3 linked regions of the Macaca mulatta genome follow. The protein of the gene in region 1 purifies or fractionates together with the protein of each later gene. This does not show direct contact. Links are inferred from orthologs where the notes say so. Each region holds a gene or a part of one and is shown in the gene's direction. Other genes may lie near its edges.

The links. The genes of interacting proteins can lie anywhere in the genome.
Region 2: the proteins of CCDC6 (region 1) and PPP2R1A purify together in Homo sapiens (affinity purification with mass spectrometry; 5 studies listed by BioGRID and IntAct, with this or other methods). This does not show direct contact. The link is inferred for Macaca mulatta from reciprocal best matches to the Homo sapiens genes CCDC6 and PPP2R1A.
Region 3: the proteins of CCDC6 (region 1) and PPP4R2 purify together in Homo sapiens (co-immunoprecipitation; 3 studies listed by BioGRID and IntAct, counting the BioPlex papers as one, with this or other methods). This does not show direct contact. The link is inferred for Macaca mulatta from reciprocal best matches to the Homo sapiens genes CCDC6 and PPP4R2.

What each region holds. Positions count from the first base shown.
Region 1 is NC_133414.1:90,019,628-90,024,748, forward strand, and holds part of CCDC6 (coiled-coil domain-containing protein 6), read left to right. Parts: intron 1-1,794; coding exon 1,795-1,951; intron 1,952-4,669; coding exon 4,670-4,770; intron 4,771-5,121.
Region 2 is NC_133424.1:64,419,595-64,424,671, forward strand, and holds the end of PPP2R1A (serine/threonine-protein phosphatase 2A 65 kDa regulatory subunit A alpha isoform), read left to right. Parts: intron 1-2,937; coding exon 2,938-3,029; intron 3,030-3,197; coding exon 3,198-3,214; 3' UTR 3,215-3,655; downstream 3,656-5,077. UniProt on the Homo sapiens protein: The PR65 subunit of protein phosphatase 2A serves as a scaffolding molecule to coordinate the assembly of the catalytic subunit and a variable regulatory B subunit.
Region 3 is NC_133407.1:136,534,649-136,539,769, forward strand, and holds part of PPP4R2 (serine/threonine-protein phosphatase 4 regulatory subunit 2), read left to right. Parts: intron 1-1,467; exon of another isoform or gene 1,468-1,511; coding exon of another isoform or gene 1,512-1,588; intron 1,589-4,095; coding exon 4,096-4,266; intron 4,267-5,121. UniProt on the Homo sapiens protein: Regulatory subunit of serine/threonine-protein phosphatase 4 (PP4). May regulate the activity of PPP4C at centrosomal microtubule organizing centers.

The sequences.
Region 1 (5,121 bases):
AAGAGCTTTTGTATATTCTGTAATGATGCTGTCTTGGAAACCATTGAATACTTATCAGAAGTATTTATTGGCTAAAATGTCAGACTTTTGTAGAGTTGCTTAAAACTAAAACTAATTTGATGGGCATTGAGAGTTGAAATAGAGTCAGTCTGTGGGAGAAAAATGCTCAATGTGGCATACAGCTCCTTCCTTCTTCCCTAAATTTGGACCGAACTGACAATATGGAACAGCAGCCTACAGGAAACTCTCTTAGATGTGCTTATGGCCACTCTGAATTTGTAACTGCTTTTCAGAAAAGATAAGTATATGGAGATTTTACTTTTCCCAAGTTCATTGACAAAGACAAGGAAAAGAAATGAAGCAAGAAGATGGGTAGACACCACATTTTGTATTAGATAATTCCGGTTACTTGGTAGCAGATTCTGCGTGAGATAAACCAGAAAGGAATGGGGGCGGCGGGGAGGTTGTCAAAAGAGGAAGGAAGACGTGTTTTTCTTTTTTTGGAAGGTTGCGGAGTATGGCACAGAATCTTGTGAAGAATAACCTCAGAAGGACAAGAGTTTTGATGGCTCCAGGGAACTTAGCTGGAGGAGCTAAAGATGGATCCCCGTAAAGATGTCAGTTCCCCATTTCAGATTCCTGGGAGAGGTGGTCTAAGTGGCTCAGCCTGGGTCCAACATCTAGTCCGGGAGCTAGTCAGCTCTGTCCTGGGAGATGGGTGCTGTAGCAGAGACCTGGATTTGTGGGAGAGCTCCTGAGGAAAGGGTATTTGTCATAAGCAAGATGCCATCCCAAGAGGTGCCAGCTATATACAGGTCTTCACCTGCCCTCTGTCGTAGCATGTGCGTGAGACAGGGTGACAGACAGCCACACACATACCACAAATTAGACTTGGAAATATTAATCTAAAGTTTTCTGGTTTACTATGTCAATGTCTATTCTCATGAAAAGAATGTTAACTGTTATCACATGTGTTCTAGTACAGTGGTTCTTGGTGTGCCACCACCGCTGTGCACAGCGGGGATGCCAGCAGGTGTCACAGGTTCCCCTAGACGGCTCGCTGTGTCTGGAGTTGAGAGGCAGCCAAATTGAGGTCTGCCCGTGGGCAGAATCTGGGCCTCCCTCCTTTCCCAGCTCCAGCAATGTAGAGAAGAGCTCTGGTAGTGGCTACTTGTAGACTCAGCTACAATTCCACCATTTCCTCGTCTACTTAAAGCACTTTAGAAAGCAAATGAGGGGGACTGACAATGCCTAACCTGCCAACACTGCCTTTTATATTTTTTTCTAAATGCAAATCATTGGTAAACTTTTATACTTGAGATAAACTTTAAATCCATATCTCATCTATGTGCAAGAGAATGAGAAAGACCATCTTTTTTGTTTCTTTGTTTTTTGAGACAGAGTCTTGCTATATTGCCCAGGCTGAAGTGCAGTGGCTCAGTATTGGCTCACTGCAACCTCCACCTCCCGAGTTCAAGGAGTTTTCCTGCCTCAGCCTCCCAGTGGGATTACAGGTGCCTGCCACCACGTCCGGCTAATTTTTGTATTTTTAGTTGAGACTGAGTTTCACCATGTTAGCCAGGCTGGTGTCGAACTCCTGACATCAGGCGATCCACCTTCCTCAGCCTCCCCAAGTGCCAGGATTACAAATGTGAACCACCATATCCGACCAGAAAGACCATCTTGTAACAATTCACTCTGTCTGTGGCATAGGGGCTGAACTGAAGTCTCCTTTTTTCAGATTTGGATATGATTGCATGAAACATGGTTTAATTGAAAACTCTGACTTTTCAGATTCAGAGAAAATGGCACAGTATCTGGAGGAGGAACGTCACATGAGGGAAGAGAACTTGAGGCTGCAGAGGAAGCTGCAGAGGGAGATGGAGAGAAGAGAAGCCCTCTGTCGACAGCTCTCCGAGAGTGAGTCCAGCTTAGAAATGGATGACGAAAGGTGTGTGCATGTCCTATGAGCCTTGTTTTTGTTTAAAAAATAAAACCCAGGTTCTACAGGGGTTTTCTTTGGTATCCTGTTAGGTGTATAAGGGGATAGCTTAAATATGTATTTATTGTGCTAATGAATGCCACTGCATTATAACAGATGCTGAGAATGGGATAAAGATTGAACATTTTCCTTAAACACAAGAAGATGAAAAAAATCACCTCTAAAATTATTTGGTGGGGAGAGAAATGGAGACAGCGTTATATTAGAGAAGGAGCAGAGTTTGCCTTTGTTGTTGAATTAGTTTAATCCAGTGTTATATCTGTTTAAAGCATGGGCACATATTAATTCCTGTACTGTACAAGGATAAAGCAAGCTATAGTGCAGCTCGAGGAAAACAGTGCATTTATAGGTTGAAAAGAATCAGCAGGGACACAGGTGGAGGTTGTTGAAATCCCCAGGACTTGTCTTAACACACTTGATAACTTTTGAGCCGTTTTGTAGCCACTTAAAAAAAAAATAAAACTAATGGATTGTATTCATCTGTTCAAACCTAAGCAGTGAATCCCCTCATTGCCCCACTGTGAGTGATCTGGAATGAGAGACCCATCCTTTGGTTAAGTAGCAGAAATGGTCTCAAGTGTTTGTGCCTCATCCAGTTCTCCTCCCTCTTCCTCCTCTCTAAACTTGGGATAAGGTAGTGGTAAGAAAACAAACAAATATAAGCCGGGCGCGGTGGCTCAAGCCTGTAATCCCAGCACTTTGGGAGGCCGAGACGGGCGGATCACGAGGTCAGGAGATCGAGACCATCCTGGCTAACACGGTGAAACCCCGTCTCTACTAAAAAATACAAAAAACTAGCTGGGCGAGGTGGCGGGCGCCTGTAGTCCCAGCTACTTGGGAGGCTGAGGCAGGAGAATGGCGTAAACCCGGGAGGCGGAGCTTGCAGTGAGCTGAGATCCGGCCACTGTACTCCAGCTCGGGTGACAGAGCGAGACTCTGTCTCAAAAAAAAAAAAAAAAAAAAAAAAAAAAGAAAACAAACAAATATAATTGGAAAAAAATGTTTAATCTGTGGAGAAACCCAGAAGTTAGAGAATTACATTTCTGCAAGGAAATTATCTCTTCTGGATCAGGGATGTCCTGGCATTACATGGGCCATATCTTAGTGTGAGAGGTAAGACTGAGTATTCTTGGGGGTCCCTCCAGCAGGACTGGGCATTCGGTGTCTGAAACCAGGGCTACTCATGGCTGTGACAAGTAGTACTGTCTGTTGATGCCAATACAAGCTGTCTGAAACATACAGACAATGTTAGCACATCCGCATTCTGTTTCTGTTATGGAATATATTTAGAGGACTAACAACGCTGTTGATCAGTTTGCTGTGGACAGTGACATTATTGTTTAAAGAAAAATTTAAGATTATCTGTAATGAAAGTCTATATTTTTATAATGAGAAAAAAAGGAAAACAATAACAGGTTATCCTATTTTAAATACCTATGTATATACCTCTTCATTGGGAAATAATAAAAGATTATTCTTTCTCAAAACTTTGCCTTATAAAACTACAGTTCCCTATTCTTTCTAAAATCTATATCCCTTAAGAACTATTTGACTAAAACTGCCAGCTAGAATACTAAATAGCTTATTAACTACCTTCAGATACAGATCATATATAGCATCTGGGACCCAGTTTGGGGTAAGATACACTCTGAGGAAATAATGTCTTCTGACTGCAGTGTCACTAGTGAAGCAGTTTCAGCCTTCCAGATAAATATTTTTTTCCAGAACCGGTATTCATTTCAGAAAGTTTGCCCTACCTTTTGTAGGTCAGATTATCCACAGCTGCCCAATAAATACTTCCCCTACTAGGAACAATGATACTACATTTGGGAGAAGGAAAATGGTCCAGCACTTAAGAGACCACAAGATGCCTCTTGTCTACTAGTGGATGTGTAGAGTACAAGAAGTTCCACCTGTTGCCACTAGGGTGGGTTGCTCGCGCAGGATGGTTTATCAGGAAGTCTCTCAAGCAGAAATTTCTCCTCGTCAGCGCTCCGTGCTCGTTTCACAGAGCGTAAGCTGATGTTCCTGATGATCACACTTCAGCATTTTCGGGTCTGATGTGACTTCTGAATCCAGGAAAAAGGCAGACTCAGCATGGTGTGGCTAAGCATGACCTGCTGTAGGTGTTCAGTACTCAAGTCTCATTAAATCCTAGTGTGTGACTGTCTGTCTGTTAAGCAGGACTTGCTTGTAAACAGTTGATACTCAGTTCACAGGAATAAGTATCTGTAGGCTTTAATTTTATGACATAAATCTCAGAGGGCTTGCTTGGTTTTGAGTTTCAAATAACAATGTAAATGTAGGCACTAACACGTGAATATCTTTGTAACTCTTGGGACAGTGGAGGTGAATTCCAGCATAGCTGTTGTGTGGTGGAGGAAAAACTGGTCCTCTCTGTGGTATGGTGCACCTCTTTCACCTGGCTTCTATCCTGAGCTAAAACATCCTAGATCTCCCAACCGGTACCCCTTGAGTGAGGTTTGTCAAACAGCAGAGTGGTGTCACTCAGGAGTCCATTGTATAATTGCCTTCTAACTATAACATCAATCTAAACATTCAGGATTTTGACCTCAAGGTGTGAACCCCAAACATTTTCTCCTAAAAACTTTCTTAAGGACTATTTAAATACAGGGGGTTTTATCATTTCCTCCTCTCTCCTCTTAGGTATTTTAATGAGATGTCAGCACAAGGATTAAGACCTCGCACTGTGTCCAGCCCGATCCCTTACACGCCTTCTCCGAGTTCAAGCAGGCCTATATCACCTGGTGAGCATATGTCTTTGGCTATTTTGGTGACTGATTCCTGGTACATTGAATAGGCAACTGTGACTATTCTCCCTTCTAGTGGATAAAAACCTTGGAAACAGATGATAATCATGTCTTTTTCAAAAACATCAAAAACTCATCACTCTCAAGGCTAAGAGTCTGAAAATTTTGAGCATAAATGCTATAGTGTCAGCTGGTGGTTCTCTTCTTCTTTTTTTTTTTAATCTAAAAGGAATTTGACTTTAAAACACCTTTTTAAAATGAAGAATGTCTTTGACTCTGATTTTCAGTGCTGATGGGTAGACAAAAAAGCCTTAGGTAGATTTCCAAGATGCATCATAGCACACCTTT
Region 2 (5,077 bases), on another chromosome or scaffold:
TTCAGTATAAGCCCATTAAATCTCAACAGGTTCTTTAGTGGAAAATTGACACTTCTAATGAACAAAGTTGGATGATTTATACTACCAGAGACCAAGAGTTACGACACCACAGTAATTAAAATAGATGTGAATACAAGAATATTTAAATCGCCCAATAGGATGGAATCAAGGGCACGGAAACAGTCCCACGTGTGTTTAACAGCAGGCACCTCTGTAGTTCAGTGGAGAAATATATATTTTTTAAAAAACATAGCTGGGTCAATTTGATATCCATGTAGGAATAAAAGAAGCCTCGCCTCTGGCGGGCGCCTGTAGTCCCAGCTACTCGGGAGGCTGAAGCAGGAGAATGGCGTAAACCCGAGAGGCGGAGCTTGCAGTGAGCCGAGATCCGGCCACTGCACTCCAGCCTGGGTGACAGAGCCAGACTCTGTCTCAAAAAAAAAAAAAAAAAAAAAAGAAGCCTCGCCTCAATGCATAAACAAATTAATTTGAGATGACAGACCAGAACCAGAAAGATTTAAAAAATAAAACATCTAGAAGAAAATGTAGGAAAATATCTTCATGAGTTAGCGTAGGCACAGCAAACCAGAGGAATTGATGGGTAAGTTGACCTTCTGTAAAATGTAGCACTATTTCTCAAAAGACAGCATTTTGAGAGTAAAATGCAAGCCCTTGACTGGAGGAAGATGTCTGCAATGTATGTTTCTGAGAAAGGACTCATCCACAATACTTGTCTACAAATCAGGCAGGGCAAGAAAGAGATGGGAAAAAAGACTTGAATGGGCACTTGAAAAAGGATCTCCACATAGCTTGTAAGCATATGACAAGGTGTTCAGCATCATCAGCCTTCAGGAAAGTGCAAATTAAAGCTCAGTGACATATCACTACACACCTCCCAGAACAGCCAATATTAAAAAAGACTCAATGGTGCAAATGTTGAAGACATAGAGCTGGAACTCTCATCCGTTGCACGTGAGGCTGTGTATTTAGGGTTTGATCACTCTGAAAACGGGAGTGGAACTGGAGTGGAATTTGGTGAAGCTTGTTATACAAACACCCTGTGAAACAGCCCTTCCACTCCTGGGTCTCTATCCAGGAGAAATGAGTGCTGTTTCTGTCCGAAGAATGTTCATGGTAGCTTTATTCATAGTAGCCATAAAAACAGAAAAAACCTCCATGTCTGCCCACAGTAGAGCAGATAAATTTTAGTTCATTCATACAGTGGAAAACTATTCAGCAGTGAAAAATCAAATGCCTGCTGTAGGCGGCAACACAGGTGGCTCTCACAGATACCATGTTGAGTGAGGAGCCAAACTCAAGAAAACACACCATTTATGTCAAGTTCAGAAACAGGCAGAATGAAAGAATCGAGATGATGGAAGTAAGAATAGTGGTTATTTGGGGAGAACAGGGAGCTGTCAAGTGAAAGTGGGGGACCCACAAAGCCTGCACTTTTGATTTCTGTCTGAATCTGTTCCAGGACACAACCTCAGCTTTAGTTTCTCTCCGAAGTCCTCCTCCATTTCCCAAAACAATTGACTCGGTGCAGGCGGAGTTCCCTGGGCCCCATAGATGAGAGTGGTTGCCTCCTCTGGGCTCCTGGAGGACCAGGAACTTTCCCTTGGGACCACTTACCACTCCCTTCTTACGTAGCAGTTTGGTCTCTGTCTTGCTCCTGGCCCGGATGCCTCATGGCAAGAAACAAGAGTGATTTAGCTCCGTATTCATTCCATATACATTGTAGGCCTCAGTGAATATGTGTGAAATCAATGAAAGATACCCATTTGTTGGGCCTCAGAGACTTGGGAGTTCTGTGATTCTGTTCTACTTTCCCAGCCTGCTCTGATCTCCCTGTTTGGGGCCCCAGAGAAGTCTGTTGTTGTTTGTCATACTTCTGACTTTTAAAGTAATTGGTTGGTTGGTTGGTTGGTTTTTTTGCAGTTTGTTTGGTTTTCCTTTGAGACAGAATCTCGCTCTGTCGCCCAGGCTGGAGTGCAGTGGTGCAATCTCGGCTCACTGCAACGTCTGCCTCCTGGGTTCAGGCAGTTTTTGTGTCTCAGCCTCTTAAGTTGCTGGGATTACAGGTGTGCACCACCATGCTTGGCTAATTTTTGTACTTTCAGTAGAGACGGGGGTTTTGCCATGTTGTCTAGGCTGGTCTTGAACTCCTGGCCTCAAGTGGTCTGCCCACCTTGGCCTCCCAAAGTGCTAGGATTGCAGGCATGAGCCACCGCGCCTGGCCTTGATTTTACTTTTTTTTTTTTTTTTTTTGAGACGGAGTTTCACTCTTGTTGCCCAGGTTGGAATGCAATGACGCAATCTTGGCTCACCACAACCTCCACCTCCCAGGTTCCAGCAATTCTCCTGCCTCAGTCTCCCAAGTAGCTAGGATCACAGGCGTGCACCACCACACCCTACTAATTTTGTATTTTTAGTAGAGACAGGGTTTTTCCATGTTGGCCAGGCTGGTCTCAAACTCCCGACCTCAGATGATCCACCCACCTTGGGCTCCCAAAGTGCTGGGATTACAGATGTGAGCCACCATGCCAGGCCTGATTTTACTTTTAATATACACATAATTATACATATTTATGGGGGTATAGTAGTGTTTTGATAATGTGTGCAAATGTGTAATGATCAAATTAGGATAATTAGCATATCTATCACCTTAAATGTTTACCATTTCTTTGTAATGAGAACATTCAAAATCTTCTCTTATAGCTGTTTTGAAATATGCAAAATATTATTGTTAACTATGGTCACCTTCCTGTGCATTGAGCGGAGATTTCTCATTCCTGTGTATGTCCTGGATTCTTGAGACTCCTCCCACCTTGGGTTTGGTGTATCCATGTCTGTGTATACCCTCTTGCTCAAGAGCCCTGTGCCCACCTGTTGCCCCAGTACGCTCCCTTTCCCTGTCTCCTTTTCGCTTTCCAGCACCCTGCAGAGTGAAGTCAAGCCCATCCTAGAGAAGCTGACCCAGGACCAGGATGTGGACGTCAAATACTTTGCCCAGGAGGCTCTGACTGGTAAGACCTAGAAAGCAGGGAGCCCTAGCAGGAGGGTGGACTTTTGAGGACAGGTGCTAGGCTGTCCTTTGAGAACAAGGTCGCAGCTTCTGGGAGGGGGAGGTACCATGGCATTGTGGGCAGAGAGAGGGCTGTGGTTCTGATTCTTGCCTGTTCCTGTTTTCCTAGTTCTGTCTCTCGCCTGATGCTGGAAGAGGAGCAAACACTGGCCTCTAGTGTCCACCTCCAACCCCCACAAGTCCCTCTTTGGAGAGACACTGGGGGGCCTTTGGCTGTCACTCCCTGTGCATGGTCTGACCCCAGGCCCCTTCCCCCAGTACGGTTCCTCCTCTCCCCAGCCTGGGAAGATGTCTCACTGTCCACTTCCCAGTGGGCTGGGGGAGCACGGGGTTGGACAGGACAGCGACCCTGGGAGAAAGGGGCTACTCTGCCCACGTCGGGGAGAGATGTGAGCATCCCGGGTCACTGGATCCTGCTGCTGTAATGGGAACCCCTCCCCCATTTACTTCTCCACCTCCCGTCCTTCCCCTCATTGGTTTTTTTTGTGTGTGTCAACTGTGCCATTTTTATTTTATTCCTTTTATTTTCCCCCTTTTCACAGAGAAATAAAGGTCTAGAAGTAGTCAGTCCTCTGGCCTTAGTCATCAGCATGGAGGAGGGGACACCACCCCAGAGTCATAACATCTGCCCTTTTCTCTGGAGAAGATCTTGTTACAGGACCCATTATACCCCTATGTCCCAAGAGAATTCTCTGGGGATCCCCCCAGGAGTGCTGCTGGCCTGTGGAGCAGAGGGTCCACGAGGTGCTCTGGCTGCTGTCCTGTAGTGCAGTTCAGTTTCATAGATGTTGGCCGAGTATTTTGGGGGTTAAGAGCAGGTGCCTTGGAACCAGACTACCTGGGTCCAAATTTTGGCTCCTTCAGTTAATAGACGTGTGACTAGGAGTAGCTTGTTAAGTCTTTATGAGCTCAGTTTTGTATTGTGTAAAATGAGAGTGACATTAGTACCTAGATTGCAGGGTGGGTGGCGAGGACCAAGTGAATTAGTACCTGGTAAGTGTGTAACAGTTTCAACATGAGAAGTACACAACATGGGAAGCAGAGTTAGCTGTACATTGCCAGAGAACCCCCTGTGGGCCATTTCCTGTGTTCTTGAAGAAGACTTGGGCTCTGACCCTGTCCCCAGGAGGTCTATCAGGATTGTACTAGAGAGAGAACTATGGCAAGATAGACCAGTTGTCTCTCAGTATCTATTCTCCCCTTCCTAATATAGAAGCTCTGATTTTTAGCTGGGCACATGACTATATGCATTCCAGGTATTTTCCTAGTGTCTCTTGAGATTAGGTGTGGTACTGTGACCAAATTCTAGTCAAAAAGATGTTGAACAAAAGTGGTATGTGCAGCTTCTAGGAAGTGTTCTTAAGGGTGAAGGCATGATCCCCCACCTTTCCTCCTTCCTGCACTCCTGCACTCTGGAATGTGGACCAGATGGCTAGAGTAGAAGCTGCCACCTTGGGCCAGAAAATGATCTTAGGAGTGAAGGTCAAGGAAGACAGGACAAGATGGGAGGAGCCTGGCTCCCTGAGGCTGTGAAGAGCCACGCCAGTATTGTCACCTGGGAGAATTCAACTGGTTAAGTGCCTGTTCATTTGGGGTTTCATCACTTGAAGGTGACCCGAATTCTAACTGATGCAGGGAGGGGCCTGGAGCACCCTGGAGAAAGGAGCAAGGGACGTAAGGCTGGTGATGTCTGCATGGAAGGGTTTCGCAGAGGACGTGGTGCTTGAGCACATTTTGGCACAGGTGGTGGAAGGGAAATGTGGCTTTGAGTGACAAGGTGATTTCACCAGCTTAGCCCTCATATTACCACATCCCTACTCTGTTAGACTTTATTGTGCCCTAGGAGATGAGGCTGAAGGAGACCAAAAAGCATCTTTAGGAATTACCATTTTTGCCCTGGGCAATAAACTCTTTCCTAGTTGAGAACCACTGCTCTAGAAATGCGAACACACATGTAACTAAGCATGAAAGTCTGACATTAAATCTTGG
Region 3 (5,121 bases), on another chromosome or scaffold:
CTCCCCATATATATATATGGAATAGTATCACTTGAATTGCATCGTATTGATCTAATTTAGAGTAAGTGCTTGATTTATTTGAAAGTTAAGACTACAGTGTGTTCATAATTCATGTCAATTTATGGGGCTTAATTTCTGTCTCATGAGTTAGTACCATAGAGTCTTTTAATCTCTTCAGAATTTCCATTACCTGGGGTCCCATACCTCTTGTCTGGCTGTTCCCATTAATGTGCTTTTTTTGGACCTCAAAGATGTCATGTCAGATGGTTGATGGAAGGATGAGATTAAAACACACCACAAGACCCTATGCATATATAAATCTGAACTCATAAAATACTATGAATTAGTGGGTGATTATTAAAAGTACAAAAAATTATTAAAGAAATGAAAAGTATAATCCTATTTTAGTGTAACTTTCCCTGGTATGTTTATGAAGTGCATGTGGGGAGTCTTATAAAGTTTAAAGATAAATTTTAGGAACCAAAAGCAATTGTACATTAAGAAGGATTCTTATTAGGCATATCAAAAATTCTGTGATGTGCAGATCTGCTTGTTAAACCTCAAATTCCCCTTTCTAAAATAGGATAGGGAAAGGAAAAAAGTAATCATGCAAATAGCTTTTCATCCTCACCATTTTAAAAAGTAGTAGCGGTAAAATACATTATTGACTCATTTAATAGAATGGAATTGTTGGATTACAAGTCTGCATTTACCTTCCTGAGGAACTGCCAAGTACTTTCCAAAGCAGCTACACCATTTTACATTCCCACCAGTAATGTATGACATTACCAGTTTCCCCACATCAACCCAGCACTTGTTTATTATTCATCTTTTTGATTATAGCCACCCTAGTGGGTGTGAAATGGGTGTCTCTTTGTGGTTTTGATTTGCATTTCTGTAATAGATAATAATGTTGAGCATCTTTTCATATGCTTATTGGCCATTTGTGTATCTTCTTTGTGGTGAAATACCTATTGAAATATATGTAATGTAAACCTTACCATTTTAACAATTTTAAGTGTACAGTTTATTGGCATTAAGTACACTCACAATGTTACATTACCTTCAAGATCATCCATCTGCAGAACTTTTCATCTACCCAAACTGAAACATTGTACACATTAGAGAGTAAGTCCCTGCACCTTCCTCCCCACAGTGTCAGACGACTGTCTCTAAATTTGACTATTCTTGATACCTCGTATAAGTAGAATCATACAATAGTCGTTCTTTTTGTGTCTGGCTTATTTCACTTTGCATAATGCCATCAAGCTTCATCCATGTCGTACCACGTTGGAATTTATTTCAGATTAAAGACTGTGTGTGTGTGTGTGTGTGTGTGTGTATCTCACATTTTGCTTATCCATTCATGTGCTCATAGCACATTTGGGTTGTTGGGTTTTGGGGATCTACTGAGAAATGGGATTCCTGAATCATAGGGTGGTTTCATAATTTTTTTTTTTTTTTGAGGAACCAAACTGCTTTCCACAGTGACTGCCTCGTTCCCACCAGCCATGCACAAGAGTTTCAGTTTCTTGGCCAGGCGCAGTGACTCATGCCCTTCGGGAGGCCGAGGCGGGGTGATCACGAGGTCAGGAGTTCGAGACCAGTGTGGCCAACATGGTGAAACCTTGTCTCTACTAAAAATACAAAAAAATGGCCGGGCGCGGTGGCTCAAGCCTGTAATCCCAGCACTTTCGGAGGCCGAGACGGGCGGATCACGAGGTCAGAAGTTTGAGACCATCCCGGCTAACACAGTGAAACCCCGTCTCTACTAAAAAATACAAAAAAAAAACAAAAAACAAAAAAACAAAGAAACTAGCCGGACGAGGTGGCGGGCGCCTGTAGTCCCAGCTACTCGGGAGGCTGCGGCAGGAGAATGGCGTAAACTTAGGAGGCGGAGCTTGCAGTGAGCTGGGATCCCGCCACTGGACTCCAGCCTGGGCCACTGGACTCCAGCCTGGGCGACAGAGCGAGACTCCGTCTCAAAAAAAAAAACAAAAACAAAAAACAAAAAAATTAGCTGGACGTAGTGGCAGGCGCTTGTATTCCTACCTATTTGGGAGGCTGAAGCAGGAGAATTACTTGAACCCCGGAGGCAGAGGTTGCAGTGAGCCGAGATTGCACCACTACACTCCAGCCCTGGCAACAGAGTGAGACTCTTGTCTCAAAAAAAAAAAAAAAAGTTTCAGTTTCTCTACATCCTTGGCCAGCCAATACTTGTTCACTTGTTTTTTGGATAATAGCCAACCCTAATGGGTATAAAGTGGTATCTCATTGTGATTTGGATTTACATTTCCCCAAGATTAATGGTGTTAAGCAGCATCTTGTGTGTTTGCTGACCATTTGTATATCTTCTTTGGAGAAGTACGTATTTAAGTACTTTGCCCATTTTTAAATTGGGTTTTCTTTTTTGTTGAGTTGTAGGAGTTCTTTATATATTCTGGATATTAACTCCTTATCAGATAAAAGATTTGCGAATATTTTCTCCCATTTCACGATTTGACTTTTTACTCTGTCGATAGTATCCTTTGATGCACAATTATTATTATTATTTTTTTGAGACAGAGTCTCGCTCTGTCACCCAGTCTGGAGTGCAGTTGCGTGATCTCAGCTCACTGCGAGCTCCGCCTCCCGGGTTCATGCCATTCTCCTGCCTCAGCCTCCTGAGTAGCTGGGACTACAGGTGCCCGCCACCACGCCTGGCTAATTTTTGGTATATTTAGTAGAGACGGGGTTTCACCATGTTAGCCAGGGTGGTCTCGATCTCCTGACCTTGTGATTCACCCGCCTTGGCCTCCCAAAGTGCTGGGATTACAAGCGTGAGCCACTGCGCCTGGCTGATGCACAGATATAATTCAGTTTATCTATTTTGTTGCTTGTGCTTTTGGTATCACACAGTATCTTTATTTAAGAGACAGGGTCTTGGTCTGTCGCTCAGGCTGGAGTGCAGTGGTGTGATCTTGGCTTACTGCAGCCTCCACGTCCTGGGCTCAAGCAATCCTGTTGCCTCAGCCTCCTGAGTAGCTGGGACTAGAGGTGCATATCACCATGCCTAATTTAAATTAATTAGTAATTAATTATTTTGTAGAGATGGGATATTGCTGTTTGCCCAGGCTGGCTTCTATAGAAGTTCCTGGGCCCAAGTGATCTTTCTGTCTCAGCTTCCTAAAGTGCTGGGATTACAGGCATGAGCCACCACACCTGGCCCCATATAATATTTTTACGTGGACACTGGTTGCCTTCAGAATATTTTGGGAATATATCAGGAAGTTTTCGAGCTCTCAGTGAAGAATAAAAATTTTCCAGACTTTCAGTTTTTTGCTTAGAAGTTCAAATTTTTATCATTAGTAACAAATATTATCAGTTATTTATCTTACAGTGACAGGTTCACTTTATTTATTTTTGAGAAAATGCCTACCACATTCTCCTTTTTTTTTTTTTTTCTGAAATGGAGTCTTGCTCATCGCCCAGGCTGGAGTGCAGTAGTGCGATCCTCAGCTCACTACAACCTCCACCTCCTCAGTTCAAGCGATTCTCCTTGCCTCAGCCTCCTGTGTAGCTGGGATTACAGGCATGCACCACCATACCTGGCTGATTTTTGTATTTTTAGTAAAGACAGGGTTTCACCCTGTTGGCCAGGCTGATCTCGAACTCCTGACCTCAAGTGATCCACCTGCTGAGATTACAGGTGTGAGCCATCACACCCAGTCTGCTAATGTAAATAAGCTTTATTTGTGTGGCAGACCTTTCAGGTAAAAATGCTGTTTTATGAAAAATAGCTAGTTCAGCTGGTAACAGTCTAAAGGTATTGTTCTTTGAGAATGCCATACCTCTTTGATATGCAGCATAATTTTTTAATGTATATTTCTCATTTTTGTTACACAGAATATTTAAAAGATGTATTCAGGGGTTGGGATTTAATGAAATTAGTAATTTTTATATCTTTTATGCATGCTCCTGAATGACGGTATTCTCATTACTAATTATTCACATATTCTGTTAGTGTTAGTGTCATAGTATATTCTGTATTTGTGTTTTGTGTTCAAGAATTGTAAAACTCATGGTATTACGTATTTTTTAATTTTTTGCTTATAGGATTCAGTGGTCCCAATTTAAAGGCTATTTTATTTTCAAACTGGAGAAAGTGATGGATGATTTCAGAACTTCAGCTCCTGAGCCAAGAGGTCCTCCCAACCCTAATGTCGAATATATTCCCTTTGATGAAATGAAGGAAAGAATACTGAAAATTGTCACTGGATTTAATGGGTATGCACTTAATACTGTTTTAAAGATTTAACTTTTAGCAGAAGATTATAGATTTTTCTTTTAGTTTTGATGTGTCTGGTTGATGATTGATTATCCATTAGAATAAATTATTTGTTTCTAGTGACATGTACTTGATGAGTTTTAGCTTACAACTATTTAAAATATTTACAGCCTTTTAAAAAACTTGAACCACCTTTTTATAGGTATCAATGGAAACATTCATTTATCAGGAAACATTTTAATGGTTTTTCTTTCCTGTTTTATATTTGGTGTTATGTCTTCATACTTTATACAGAACCTTTATATCATTGAGAAATCACATTTCTTTTAAAATGAAGTACTAATTTATGAAAGTATTGTAGTGAGTTTTTGTTTAGACTTTTGGATCCTCATTTCTCTCCCAAGTAACCTCTTGCTTGTTAGTTACAAGTAACCATTTTTGGGCCCTTGTAAAACATTAAAAACACCAAAAAGATATTCTGTACAAAAGTAAAACTCCCTTTGTTCGTTTTGTTTTGTTTTTGAGACAAGTGTCTCGCTCTGTCGCCTAGACTGGAATGCAGTGGCGCGATCTTGGCTCACTGCAACCTCTGTCTCCCGGGTTCAAGCAGTTTTCCTGCCTCAGCTTTCTGAGTAACTGCCACCACACCCGGCTAATTTTTTGTATTTTTAGTAGAGATGGGGTTTCACCATGTTAGCCAGGATGGTCTCGATTTCCTGACCTCATGTTCCGCCCACCTCGGCCTCCCAAAGTGCTGGGTTTACAGGCATGAGCCACCGAGCCCAGCAGTACTCATTTTTAAAGAAATGTTACTGTGTCTCATATTCTGTCATTTTAAATTCTTTGTTTTTAGG